3 linked regions of the Macaca fascicularis genome follow. The protein of the gene in region 3 interacts with the protein of the main gene of each other region in a pairwise test. Links are inferred from orthologs where the notes say so. Each region holds a gene or a part of one and is shown on either strand. Other genes may lie near its edges.

What was found.
Region 1: the proteins of RGS2 (region 3) and LRFN1 interact in a two-hybrid assay, tested with the Homo sapiens proteins (2 studies listed by BioGRID and IntAct). The link is inferred for Macaca fascicularis from reciprocal best matches to the Homo sapiens genes RGS2 and LRFN1.
Region 2: the proteins of RGS2 (region 3) and CTSB interact in a two-hybrid assay, tested with the Homo sapiens proteins (2 studies listed by BioGRID and IntAct). The link is inferred for Macaca fascicularis from reciprocal best matches to the Homo sapiens genes RGS2 and CTSB.

The regions. Positions count from the first base shown.
Region 1 is NC_088393.1:46,414,854-46,418,805, forward strand, and holds the start of LRFN1 (leucine-rich repeat and fibronectin type III domain-containing protein 1), read right to left. Parts: upstream 2,801-3,952; 5' UTR 2,615-2,800; intron 2,247-2,614; exon of another isoform or gene 2,098-2,246; intron 1,729-2,097; exon of another isoform or gene 1,620-1,728; intron 1,332-1,619; exon of another isoform or gene 1,181-1,331; coding exon of another isoform or gene 1,178-1,180; intron 1-1,177. UniProt on the Homo sapiens protein: Promotes neurite outgrowth in hippocampal neurons. Involved in the regulation and maintenance of excitatory synapses. Induces the clustering of excitatory postsynaptic proteins, including DLG4, DLGAP1, GRIA1 and GRIN1.
Region 2 is NC_088382.1:9,048,259-9,052,487, reverse strand, and holds the start of CTSB (cathepsin B), read right to left. Parts: upstream 2,801-4,229; 5' UTR 2,737-2,800; intron 2,394-2,736; exon of another isoform or gene 1,186-2,393; intron 1-1,185. UniProt on the Homo sapiens protein: Thiol protease which is believed to participate in intracellular degradation and turnover of proteins. Cleaves matrix extracellular phosphoglycoprotein MEPE. Involved in the solubilization of cross-linked TG/thyroglobulin in the thyroid follicle lumen.
Region 3 is NC_088375.1:50,401,242-50,405,383, reverse strand, and holds the start of RGS2 (regulator of G-protein signaling 2), read right to left. Parts: upstream 2,801-4,142; 5' UTR 2,767-2,800; coding exon 2,657-2,766; intron 1,664-2,656; coding exon 1,562-1,663; intron 1,460-1,561; coding exon 1,398-1,459; intron 832-1,397; coding exon 665-831; intron 411-664; coding exon 216-410; 3' UTR 1-215. UniProt on the Homo sapiens protein: Regulates G protein-coupled receptor signaling cascades. Inhibits signal transduction by increasing the GTPase activity of G protein alpha subunits, thereby driving them into their inactive GDP-bound form.

The DNA of each region.
Region 1 (3,952 bases), on a different chromosome or scaffold from region 3:
GACCTCAAGTGATCCACCTTCCTTGGCCTCCCATAATGCTGGGATTACAGGTATGAGTCACCGCACTCATCCTACCGTTGTATTTTTAGCACCTTAAGCAGAGCCTGGCACATATTGGATACTCAAGAAATTTTTTTTTTTTTTTTTTTTTTTTTTTTTTTTTTTGAGACGGAGTCTCGCTCTGTGGCCCAGGCTGGAGTGCAGTGGCGCGATCTCGGCTCACTGCAAGCTCCACCTCCTGGGTTTACGCCATTCTCCAGCCTCAGCCTCCTGAGTAGCTGGGACTACAGGTGCCCACCACCGCGCCCGGCTAATTTTTTGTATTTTTAGTAGAGACGGGGTTTCACCGTGGTCTCGATCTCCTGACCTTGTGATCCGCCCGCCTCGGCCTCCCAAAGTGCTGGGATTACAGGCGTGAGCCACCGCGCCCGGCAAGAAATATTATTGAATGAATTAATGAACCAGCAGTTATCAAGCACAATCATTTTATACAGTGTGAAGGCTGTTGCTTAAATGCAGGAGGTAGTGGATGGGGTTTGTGACATGGCCCCACCCTGGTGAAATGGCCTTTCCTCAAAGCGTCTATGCCACACTGTCCTGGTCTTCCTCTCTCTGGCTGCCCTTTTCAATATTCATCGACAGTGTCAATTCCTTTGCTCAAATCCTGCCTCTCCGTTTCAGAGTTCTGTTCATTCCCTGTCTCCAATGATCCTTCACACCCTCCCCGCGCTAGACCCCTAACTCCCACAGCCTCAATTACCATCTTTGACGATTCTTAAATCTTGGTCTCCAGCCTCAATTTCTCTCTTAAGCTCCAGACCCGGGGTTTGTGTACCTCCTGGACCTCGCTGCTAGGCATCCACATTGGGCTTAGTATCTTCCCAACCTGCTTCTCCTCTGGGGCCCAATCTCCCGGCCAGAGGGCCTGGTTCTAAACTTTTCTCCCCCTTCCACTCCATGGCCAGCCAGTTTCAGGGCCCGTTTGCTCTGCCTCCAGGGCGTCCCTCCCACCTGCACCTCCTTCCCTCCCCACAGTCCCTCCCTTGTGCAAACCCCCCTCTTTCTTCCCCAACTCCTCCCCCAGCTGTCTTCCTGGACTCCTGACCCCGTTTCATTCCCTCCAATCCGCCCTCCAAGTATAAGCCAGAGAGACAGCTCTCCAAAACCCCCGACTCACCATGATCCTCCCCGGCTTGAAGCCCTTCAGGGCTCCCTAGTGCCCTCGGGACAAGTCCAAACTCTCTCAAGTGGCCAAACAACTGGCCTCTGCTCGTTCCTCACCCCTCCCTGTCTTCAACTCGACCCTCGACCCCGACTGGCTCTCTGAGTGCCTGTAACAAGCCAGATCTCTGTCACCGAGAGCCTTCTGAACACAGATCCCTCTGATTAGTTCACCCAGACCCAAGACAGTTTGTGGAACGCCCAGATCACAACCAAAGTCATAGCAACAACTCCCGTTTATTGGCGGCCTCCTTGATCCCGAGCGCTTTCTGTGCATTCTCTTCCCACCCTAACGGCTAGATCTCGCCTCGCCATTCCCATCGGAGAGAGCAAGCGGCAGGCTCAGAACAGCGCGATGAGAAAGCCGAGCCCCCCAAAGCCCGAGTGCAGACGCCTACCGGGGACAGCGTTGGGTGGGGCGGGCCACCCAAGGGGCGGGGAAGAGGAGGCCTGGAACGTCTGAATCGGGAACTGCGACTTCGCTCAGGGCAGCTGGGGTGGACGCGCGCTAGCCTGCCCCCTGCGGGCCTGGAGGCCCAATCCCAGGCTCCGCCGGGCCCGTTACCCTAGGCAACGCCGCGCGCGCCCCGCCCCCTCCCCGCCCCCCAGCCCCAAACCCCAGGCCTGACCGACTGCCCGTCACCCCCACGTCCGACCAATCCCGCCGAGGAGGGGGCGGGCCTCTTGGGTCCCGTTCCACCACCGTCGCTCCTCTCCTCGCCGGGACCCCGCCTTACTCGGCTCACACCTCCCGCCCTTCGGGCTGCCCTCGCCGCCCGTTGGCTGGCGCGCCGTTCGTCACCCGGGCGTGAGCTAATGCCGGCGCGCGGCGGCCCCCGTCGGGGCGGGGCCAGGGGCGGTGACGCACGGCGCGGTGACGCAGCGCGACGGCGGCGGCGGCGGCGGCGGCGGCGGTGGTCGGTGCGGGAGGAGGGAGGGGAGCTTGCGGGCCCGAGAGGGGGCGACGGCGGCAGCGGTGGCCTGAGGAGGCCCGAGCGGCGGCGGTGGTGGCGAAGGCCGAGGCGGTGAGTCTCGGGCCGGGCCGGCGCGGGGCGGCGGCGGGTCAGGGTGCGCGGGGCTCCCCTCAGGGCGACCCAGGCCGCGCGGGCGGCCCCGCCCCCTCAGGGACCCCGAACCGCGGGCGGCGGCGGCGGGCGGGTGCGGAGCGCGGGCTTCGGGGGTCGGGCCCACGGGAGAAGCCCCGCGCCCGTCCCCAGTCTCCCTCCTGGGCCCTGGCAGAAGCTTCTCTCCGAAATCCTCCCCGTGCCCTCGGGATTGCCGAAGGGCCGGGCCGGGGGCCCCTCCTCAGGACCCCACGCACATCCTCCTCGGAGAGCCCCGGAAACCCTGCCGAGCCCCCGTGTGCGCCCCGAATGGTCCCTGCAGAACCCACCTCTCCCGTGGAGCCGCCTCCCCGAGCCCTTCGAGGGTCTCGGCAGCCTTCCTTGCAGACCCCCACTCTTTGGCCCCGAAGCCCCCGTCGTCCTCCTGTCTCCAGAAATAGTCCTCGGAGGCCATTCCTCGTCCATTCCACAGCGTGGCTCTCATAGCTGCTCCAGGAGCCTTCCTCACGAGCTCTGCACACCTCCCCAAGGCTCCCTCCGGACCCCTGTCCGTTCCAGAACTCTCCCCCAGAGCCCTGCCTCTCACAGCCCAACAGGCTCACCCGACTTCCCCCTCCCAGATCCTAAGAATTTTCCCTCCTACTTACCCCATTCCAGAAACCTCCTTGGAGATTTTCCGCTCATACCCCCTGCATTTCTGAGTCCCCCTCCCAGAAGTCCTTCAGAATGCCCCCGAAGAACCCTGATCATCTTCCCTGAAGATCTCCTTCCCATATCCCCAAAATAAATCTTCCTCACAGACTTTCTGAAATGCCCCCAGATCCCGAAAACTCACCTGGAAGACCCCATCCCACTCCCCACCATATTGCAACCTTCTCTAATACACACTCCCCCTTCACGTATCCCTCTGGATCTTTCCACAGATCCCAAAAGTCTCCCCCAGAGGCCTCCTGTCTCCCCCTGGTCTCACCACCCTGAAATGCCCTAGAGATCACCCTCAGGTAGCCCAACCATCTTCCCCGGGACCCCCTTCCCCACCCCCATTCATTCTTAAAGTCTCCAGCGATTGCCTGAAATCTCCAGAGGACTCTCAATTTCATATTTCAAAAGCTTCTTCCAAAACCCCTTTTACATACTCCACATATTTTCCAGTCCCCCACATCACACGCTCCAAAAATGGTTTAAGGATCCTGAAAACTTTCCTCATGGTTTATCTCTCAGATCCCCTAGAACTCCCCTTCACTTACACTTCAGAATCCCCCCTTGCAGACCGGTTTTAGAGGAATTTTCTAAAGATCCTCCTCACAACCCCTGTAAGACCGTAAGATTCTCTTGGTGACCCCTCTGAGATGCAGGTTTTCAGGACCCGCCCCCCCGCCACACACACACACACACACACAGCTTAGAGACTCCAGCAAACCCCTGGAACCCTCCTGATGTTGTTCTTGAAATCCCTCCAAGACCTTCCTGACACCCCCAGAACCCCTTGAATCAATACTTCTGCCTTACTAAGGGACTTTTCTGGAGATGTCACTCCCTGAACTTGCTCACGCAGGTCCCCTAAATCCTCTAGAATCCCCTGAAGAAGACCCTCACACACACCTAATTTCCCCCCAAAATAACCCTCTGAGCTCCTGCTCTGAGAAAGTCCTAGAATTCTTTCTGAA
Region 2 (4,229 bases), on a different chromosome or scaffold from region 3:
CCACCCCGGCGTGGTGGCTCACACCTGTAATCCTACCACTTTGGGAGGCTGAGGCGGATCACCTGAGGTGGGAGTTAGAAAACCAGCCTGGCTAACATGGTGAAACCCCGTCTCTACTAAAAATAATTTTTTAAAATGCCAGGTGTGGTGATGGGCACCGGCAATCCCAGCTACTTGGGAGGCTGAGACAGGAGAATTGCTTGAACCTGGGAGGTGGAGGGTGCACCACTGCACTCCAGCCTGGGCGACAGAGGGAAAGTCTGTCTTAAAAAAAAAAAGAAAGAAAGAAAGAGAGCATCACCGACAGACATCCCAAGGCACCCCTGAAACGTGATCTCCCTTCATTTCCCAATCCAACCAAGAGCAACAGAAAATATCTGTTACCCCTAAAATGGGTGCAACTTATCTTCCAACTCCCAGGTCCCGCAGCTAGGGAAAGAAAAGAAGCTGCCTAGGAGAAGAGCCTCACCAAACTGCTAAATCAGCACCACATGGGCCGCTTCAACCTGGAGCCAAAGGGCTGCCACCCCTCGCCGCCTGACCAGTTGACAACAGGGCTGTCCTGAGCCAACATCCAGGAGAGCTGTTGGGGCGAGAGCTGTGCCAGGGCCGTGTCTGGTCTGCGTTGCCACCTGGGCCAAGAGACCTGTGCCTTTCCACCAGGGGATACCCCAGCTCCGGGACAAATGACCAAAAAGGAGAAGCCTCTGCTCTCCAGGAGACGTCTGACTCTGTCTTTGGGAAAGCTACACAGGGTGGGCGGCCCAGCCCCTTTCTCCAGGAGCTGGCGGGTTCTAAGTCACCATCACCAAGAAGAAACAGTTCTCCGCCAGGCCAGGCATGGTGACTCATGGGGAGGCCGCGGCAGGCAGATCACCTGAGGTCAGGAGTTCGAGATCTGCCTGGTCAACATGGTTAAAACTCATCTCTACTAAAAATGCAAAAATTAGCTGGGTGTGGTGGCAGGCACCTGTAATCCCAGCTACTCGGGAGGCTGAGGCAGGAGAATAGCTTGAATCTGGGAGGCGGAAGTTACAGTGAGCCGAGATTGCGGCACTGCACTCCAGCCTGGGAGACCGAGCGAGACTCCATCTCAAAAAAAAAAAAAAAAAAAGAACCGATGTTATGGAAGAGAAAGAGCAGCCCTTAACCAAGCCAACGCCCTCTTAGGCCTCTTCGCCTTACCTTCCTGAACGTTTGGACTGAAAGAGGGTGCATCTCAGCTATCCTCTCCTCCGGCGGGAGGCAGTGGGGATCAGTTTTTCTAGGCTACAAAAACGTGCCAGGTCTGCCTTTGAGCCCCACAGCATCGCTTCTCCAGTGGGTTTGGGGGTCTCTCCTCCGTTAGGAGGAGGGGTGTAGGGCCTGCGCTAGGATCCTTTTCCTTGCCAGCCTGCTGGCTTCCTCGATGCCTGGGGAAGGGGGTGACAGAGGCCCACCAAGAAGCCAAGTGCAATTCACTTCCAGCTGGGTCACCCACCCCAGCCTGCCTGCAGCGCCCCACACCCAGGCACCTACTGCTCCCCAGAGGCCAACTCCCCCCGGCCTCCAGGGCTACTAACCGAGGGGGAGGTAGGGCCCCAGGGACTCTGCCCGGCTTCCCTTTACTGGAGTCCAGGGGGCAGGGAGCGTCCCTGGCCTTCTCCCCACCCGGCATCCAATCGCCCATTCGCCTCTTGGTTTCGCAGCTTGGTTTCTCTTCCTGTTTATGGATTTAACTCCGTGCGGGTTCCTCCCCAGCCCACCCAGTGCCAGATCCCTGTTCAACAGGACCTGTCTTCTGGGGTCCCAGGAATTGTGTGGGATCTTGCGCAGAAAGTTGGCCAGGCAAATCCTTTGGAACGAGGGGGAAATAAACCGAAAATAGATGCCGGCAGATGCGATAATCTCGGCAGTTTGTCCCGGGGACACCGAGGCCCAGGCGCTGGGAGCGCGACCCCAGGCAGCAGCCTCCGGACCTAGCCGAGCTCTTCCTCGCAGGCGCCTCCCTCGGGGCTCCTGGCCGCCTCCCCGCTCCGGGGGCCGGGGTCCCGCGCACAGGCCGGGGAGGGGAGCAGAGGGGAGGGGGCTGGCGGGCGGGCCGGCGGGGCTGTTTTCTGCTTTTCTTGTCGACGCTTCGGAGTGCGCGGGCTCCCACCCCAGCCCGCCAGTCAGGGTCAGTCCCGAGGGTCCTGGCTCCCCACCTGCCCCCAGGAACGCCGCGGGGCCGCGCCTAGGCCCGACCGGGGACGCAGAAGAACCCGTCTCGGCGGCCGGTGGCACCGTCCCCGCCAAGGTCACTTCCGCCGCGGTGACCCCGCGCCCCCGGCACTCACCGAACGCTGCCGCCGAGAGTCTGCAGCCCAGCCTGCGCGCCGCGGAGCCGGTGCCGTTGCCGGAGCCCTGCAGCCGCCGTAGCCTGGGCCAGCCCCGGCCCTAAGTACCCTCCCGGTCCTGCGCCACGTGACTACCGCGCAGCCCCGCCCGTGCCCTCCCGCTGCCCGCGCACCCCGCTTCCCAGCCCCCACCTCCTCCCGCCACCTTCCGCCGCCCGCGCTCCCCTCTTCCCGGCCCCGCACCCCCCCACCCCTTCCGCCGGGGGTCAGGGGACACCGCCGGGGAGGGCGGGGGCCTGAGCGCGCGGGTTGGGGAAGAGGGGCTTGGAGCCCTGCGGGCCCTGGGTGGCGAAACGCTGCGAATTGGGGCCAGGGGATGGGGAAAAAGCCCCGAAAGGTGGTCCCAGAGCCCCCACCCCACCTAGAAAAGTCCCCCCGCCTCGCGGGACCGCTTCCGCCAGAACCGGCGCCGGGGATCCCTGCCTGCCGGGTTGGCGGGGGCGGGGTGGGGGAGAGGGCGCCGTCGCTTATTTCATTCATCAGAAGCCGCTGCAGGGGCTGGGGGTGGCGAGGCTGTGGACCCTACAGAACAGTCTTTAAACGCTCCACTTTGTTGTTCTGAGAACGTACCCACAAAACACTCCAGCTACGTACAAATAGAAAAGGGTGGCTGTCACCGCGAAGGAACCTAGGAGCTGCGTCAGGATTTCTACAGAGGAGGAGAAGGACCTTGGGGGGCGGAAATCGGCTTGGCACAGGAGTCCCGGGAGACCTGCTCCGAGAGGACTGACAAAGTGAACATTTACTTGGGGTTTATTAGCGGGAGGGCCTGGAGGGGAGATGCTGGGGTTGGCTCAAGACACCCTCCTCCAGACCCTCCCCAAACAGCTCTAATCCTAAAGACAAACCTGCAAGGCAGGCATGACCCCTGTATTCAAGAGGCTCAAAGAGGCTGGGCGCGGTGGCTCACGCCTGTAATCCCAGCACTTTGGGAGGCCGAGGCGGGCGGATCACCTGAGGTTGGGAGTTCAAGACCAGCCTGACCAACATGGAGAAACTCCGGCTCTACTAAAAATACAAAATTAGCCGGGCGTGGTGGCGCGGAAGGCTGAGGCAGGAGAATCACTTGAACCCGGGAGGCGGAGGTTGCGGTGACCCGAGATCATGCCATTGCACTCCAGCCTGGGCAACAAGAGTGAAACTCTGCCTTAAAAAAAAAAAAAAAAAAGTTCAGAAGAATCATCGTATTTTATCCAGGCTGTGGCGACAGTAAAAAGGCAGTAGGACTCCAAGGGACGTGGCTCCCTGCAGCCGGGTCGTCAGCTGTCACACAGCCCTGAGCCTGCCAGGGTCTTCAGAGTCATACCTGTATTCCCGCCTGGTTAGTACCAGACTAAGGATAGGAGTGGAAGGAAAAAATAATCTCTGGAGCCCAAACATGGTCACTAAGCCCCCAGCGGAGTGGGATACCCAAGGAACTGAAGACCAGAAGGCTGGAGGTCAAGGTGGTCCCAACTGCCTGCTCACCCTAGCCCTATCCTGAGGGCCATGGACTCCAGACTCCAAATCAGTGCTGGGGCATGCTGTCTTCCATATGGAAGTCAAATCATTTCAGACCTCTATAAAGAGCTCATAAGATAGCCAAAATGGGGAGGACACAGCCAGAACCAGCATAACTCTTTCCCCTCTCGCATCCTTAGAGTGTGACAGAAGGTATGCAGAGCAGAGTGCTTGATATGCATTATGGCTGTTTGATGGAATTTTCTATCAGTGTCACATAAATCACTTTTGAGAGGTAAAAATAACTCTTGAAACAAAAGAAACAGGCTACGTGTGGTGGCTCACGCCTGTAATCTCAGCACTTTGGGAGGCTGAGGCATGCAGATCACCTGAGGTCACGAGTTCCAGACCAGC
Region 3 (4,142 bases):
TGCGTTCTGTACACAGTGAGAGAAGCTGTTCTGATACCAGCTTCTCCTAGTCAGTTACTGGCTTCCTGATTCACTACCCAGCTTTGAATCAATAGTTCTGAGCGATGTTTCCTGAACACCCAGGCTGAATTCAAGGTCAGTCTTTATGGCAGGTCAGTCTTTCCCCTTAGGAAAAAGAATGAAATGTCCTCCATTTCTGGGCTCCCTTTTACATTTCATGTAGCATGAGGCTCTGTGGTGATTTGAGGCTTTTTACACAAGTCCTGGTAGAATTCTGACTCCAAGAAACGGGGATAAGAGTTGTTCTCCATCAAGCTGTATACCCTTTTCTGGGCAGTTGTGAAGCAGCCACTTGTAGCTTCTTGTATATTCTGGGCAATCAGAGTTTTGGTTTGAAAATCTATGTTTATCTGAAATAAAACAAAAAAGTTGTTTATTTGGTGTTCAGAGTTAAAGATTAAAATTTAGTATTTGAAAACAAAAAATAAAAATTATGTGTGATTAGCTTTACTACCTAAGTCACAGAAGAACTTTAACATAACTGAAAGCTACAACGTGGGGGGACTTTTTACCCCTCCTTCTGGCCCCACTTTGCCCTTATTTTGTTTCACTTTTGTGCTAAAAATGTCCAGATTGTGCTCAGTTTAGGAACTTGTTTCCTTACCTCTTTTGGAGCTTCCTTTTCTATAAAATCAGTATATATTTTCCTTGCTTTTGAGGACAATTTTTGGGGTGATTTGGTTTTTTTGAAGTCTTCACAGGCCAGCCAGAATTCAATATTTTCTTCACAGAATTCCGACTTTAAAAAAGCCCTGAATGCAGCAAGACCATCTGAAGGGGGGAGAAAAGAAAGCATGCAGAATGTGAAGAACCGAGTGACCAAATGATTCTTTATGTTTCTCCTAGTACTTCTCCCTCACATTTTAATTATTTCTAAATGACAGCAATTTTCTAGATTTCGCTTAAACCTGTAATTCTCAAAATTTAGCTTTTTAAAGACGAAGATACCAGTAGGCAAAATGCTTATGTTGGCCCTCTGCTGCAAAAATATAAGTACTTTGCTGTCAATGCAAAGTAAATATTTATAGGGGAGACATAAATTCTCTGGGAACTAAGCCTCTTGAAAACATTGTATGCAATGGAAAAACTGACTCAACCTTAACTATAAGCAACTGCCACTTTAATTTTTTTAGGCTGATTTTCTTCCCCACCTGGAGGAAATACATGCATTTATTTCCATGGTTAAACCCTGGGAAATAAAGGAGAGAAAAACAGGCTTTATCCAATAGTGACTGCAGTCTAATCCCCCTCAGGCAAGCTGCTCTTTTGTTGTGTGGACCCAGCCTTTGCAGGCTTTTGCAATATTAGCAATGGCTAAAGTTCAAGAGTTAACTTACATTTGCTAGCTAGCAGCTCGTCAAATGCTTCTGACCACAGCTGTGCTTCCTCAGGAGAAGGTCTGCAAGAGAGGTTCTGCATGTTAGCTTATGCACATCAGAGTTCCCCTTTTCAGTTCAGCAACTAACTATTAACATTTGCAAGTACAGGATTCTCAACTTACTTGATGAAAGCTTGTTGTTTGCTTTTTTTGCCGGTTTTGGGTTTCCCAGGAGTAGAGGAATTTTGCAAGAAGTAGCTCAAACGGGTCTTCCAATCTTTTAAACTAAAACAAACAAAAAAATTTAAAAAAGATAATCACTAAGTAGCAACACTTGAATATGCTACTGCAGCTGAACGCATTTTTACCAAATAAAGTCACCCAGTAACTAGAGACAAACCGCATAAGGCAAAGCAAGAACTCTTCAAATAACAGTCTTATCCACTTAACATTTAAACCTCATGTACTGAGCAGTTTCATCCATTAAACTGATCGTATCTACTAGTTTTACAACTAAGGGCAGGGCTACCTACAATCACTAGGGTATTTTAAAGAATTGTTAATGAATTTAGTTCAAAAGGCAGATATTATTTCTGGCTTACAAAGGGCATCAGTTTGTTTGCAAGGTTAATTACAATTCCGAGGGGTTTTACAATTTAATGAAAAGGACAGACGTGGAACTGTCTGGAGCCGGCCCACGCTTCTCTCTTTAGAGCAAGAGGTTCTGGAGCATGCCAGAGACAGTGTACAAGGAGGTGGGTGACTGATTCCCCTGCGCTCTTCCTTCCCCACCTACAACACTTCTTTTAAGCAGACGCTGCAGAACAATTATTTGTTCCACATTCATGACTGGATGAGATCTGCTCTATAATTAAAAAACAAAAGTGGATTTTAAACGAGTATATTCACAACCAGCAAGAGCATCTCCTTCCAGGAGCTGTGTAAGCTGATGAGAACTCATCATGCAACGTATGCATGCTGGGGACGCGCTTCAGCCGCAGGATTCTGATGTCATTTTGAATGCAGGAGGACAAAAAGCCAACCCGCAATTTCTTAGCGCATCCACCACCGCCCTCATATCAACTATCTCCCTCGGTTCCTAAACTCTACCCGAGCATCACCCAGATTTAACCTTAACAAACTGACCTTTTCGATTTTTTTTTTCCCCTGCAGAGGCTCGGGCTAGTTTCCTAACATCAAAGCCGAGCCCAAAGTACCGCGTTTGCAGCTCGCAGTGTGTGGCAGGGGTGGCGGGAGAGGGAAGAAAGCCATACTCACAGGGTCCGTTTCATCTTTTCCCGCTTCTCCTCGCTCTTGTGGCCGCTGCCAGCGCTAGTGTCCATAGGTCTGCAGTCGTGTTGAACAGCCAAGAACATAGCACTTTGCATTATCGTCCTTCCGCTGGGGCCGCGGCTGTTGGCTGCTGGGCGTGCGTCGCAGCTTTTATAAGAAGCCGCGACTTGGGGGCGGGGCTTCGCGGCTCCGGCCCCGCCTCAAGAGGACGCGGATTGGTTGGTTGCAAACGGGCACTGGGATGGGGGTCAGCGCCCGCCAGCGGCAGTCTCGGTTAACGCCGAAGGGTCTGGAAGCCAGGGCGCTGCTGACGTCTGCGGCCCGGGCTTCTTGCGCACTCGGACTACATAGCAGCGGCCAGCTGGGGCCGGCGTGCGAGCAGACAGGGACTTTTCAGTGTGGGCTGTTGCCCACGACCTTTTGCTGAAGCGTGGCGGCCAGGCGGGGGCTTGCGGCGGAGGGAGAGAGCCGAAGTTGGCTGCGGCCTGGCGGAGGCTACGTCGCTCCCTCACCCACCCACCCTGACGGGCTCCCCAGCCCCAGGCCAGAGCGGCGATTCCCTGGCAGGAGGAGGTCGCCCGCCGCGAGGCCGGAGTTCAGTGGCCTGATTTTGAATGAAGAGTGGGATTTTTCTTCTTTTTTTGAGCGCGTTCCCTGACCCCGCGCCTCATTTCTTGTTTGCTGTCCTACTGTAGGGACTCATTCGACACACCCTGGTCAATGAACTGAGGCTACGGGAAGACCCTCCCCCGTTTCTCTCTGCCACTTAATTTAAGGAAGGTGTAACCTGAAACGTTGACTGCCCGGGGGCAGGGTGGGACCTGCTCTGCAGCTTGCTGGGGCGTCTTGAAACACGTTGGGAATGAACATTAGGGATTGAACAAGAGAAGGTGACTTTATCAGAAGACAGTGCTTTAATTGGATTTGCATTTTTGATCACTACTAGGCAAGTGGCTGGGTCTGTCTATAGGGTCATTCCTCAGGAGCCCTTGGTCACATCTGCCAAAATGGAAATCACAAGTTTCCTTATGGTGGGAGAGAAAGCTGGAGACACAGATATTTCAGAGCTGTAATGCACTAGAATCATGAGTTCAAGGAGTCAGGATTTCCTCATGAGTCATTCTTGTTTTGAGTTAGGATTTACCAGAACTTTTAATAACTGGCAAAAAGTAGGGGGAAGGAGGAGTTAACAGTTTCCTTCATTAAGTTTTTTGTTAATTCTTCAAGTATCATCTCTACTCCTGAAGGTTTTAAAACGACTTGATTGGTAAAAACAAATAGATTACCTCAACCACAAAATGAGTTGATTTCGTACAATATTACCAGAACTAGCCAATGAAATGTTTAAGCGGCTTTGCAACCAAGCTGCAGATATTTTCTCTAGATAGTATTCAACTTGTTAAAAGAAAATTGGAAATAGTTAATATATTCTTACGGTGAGCTGCCAGTAGTTGGAGCTCCAAGTTTGACT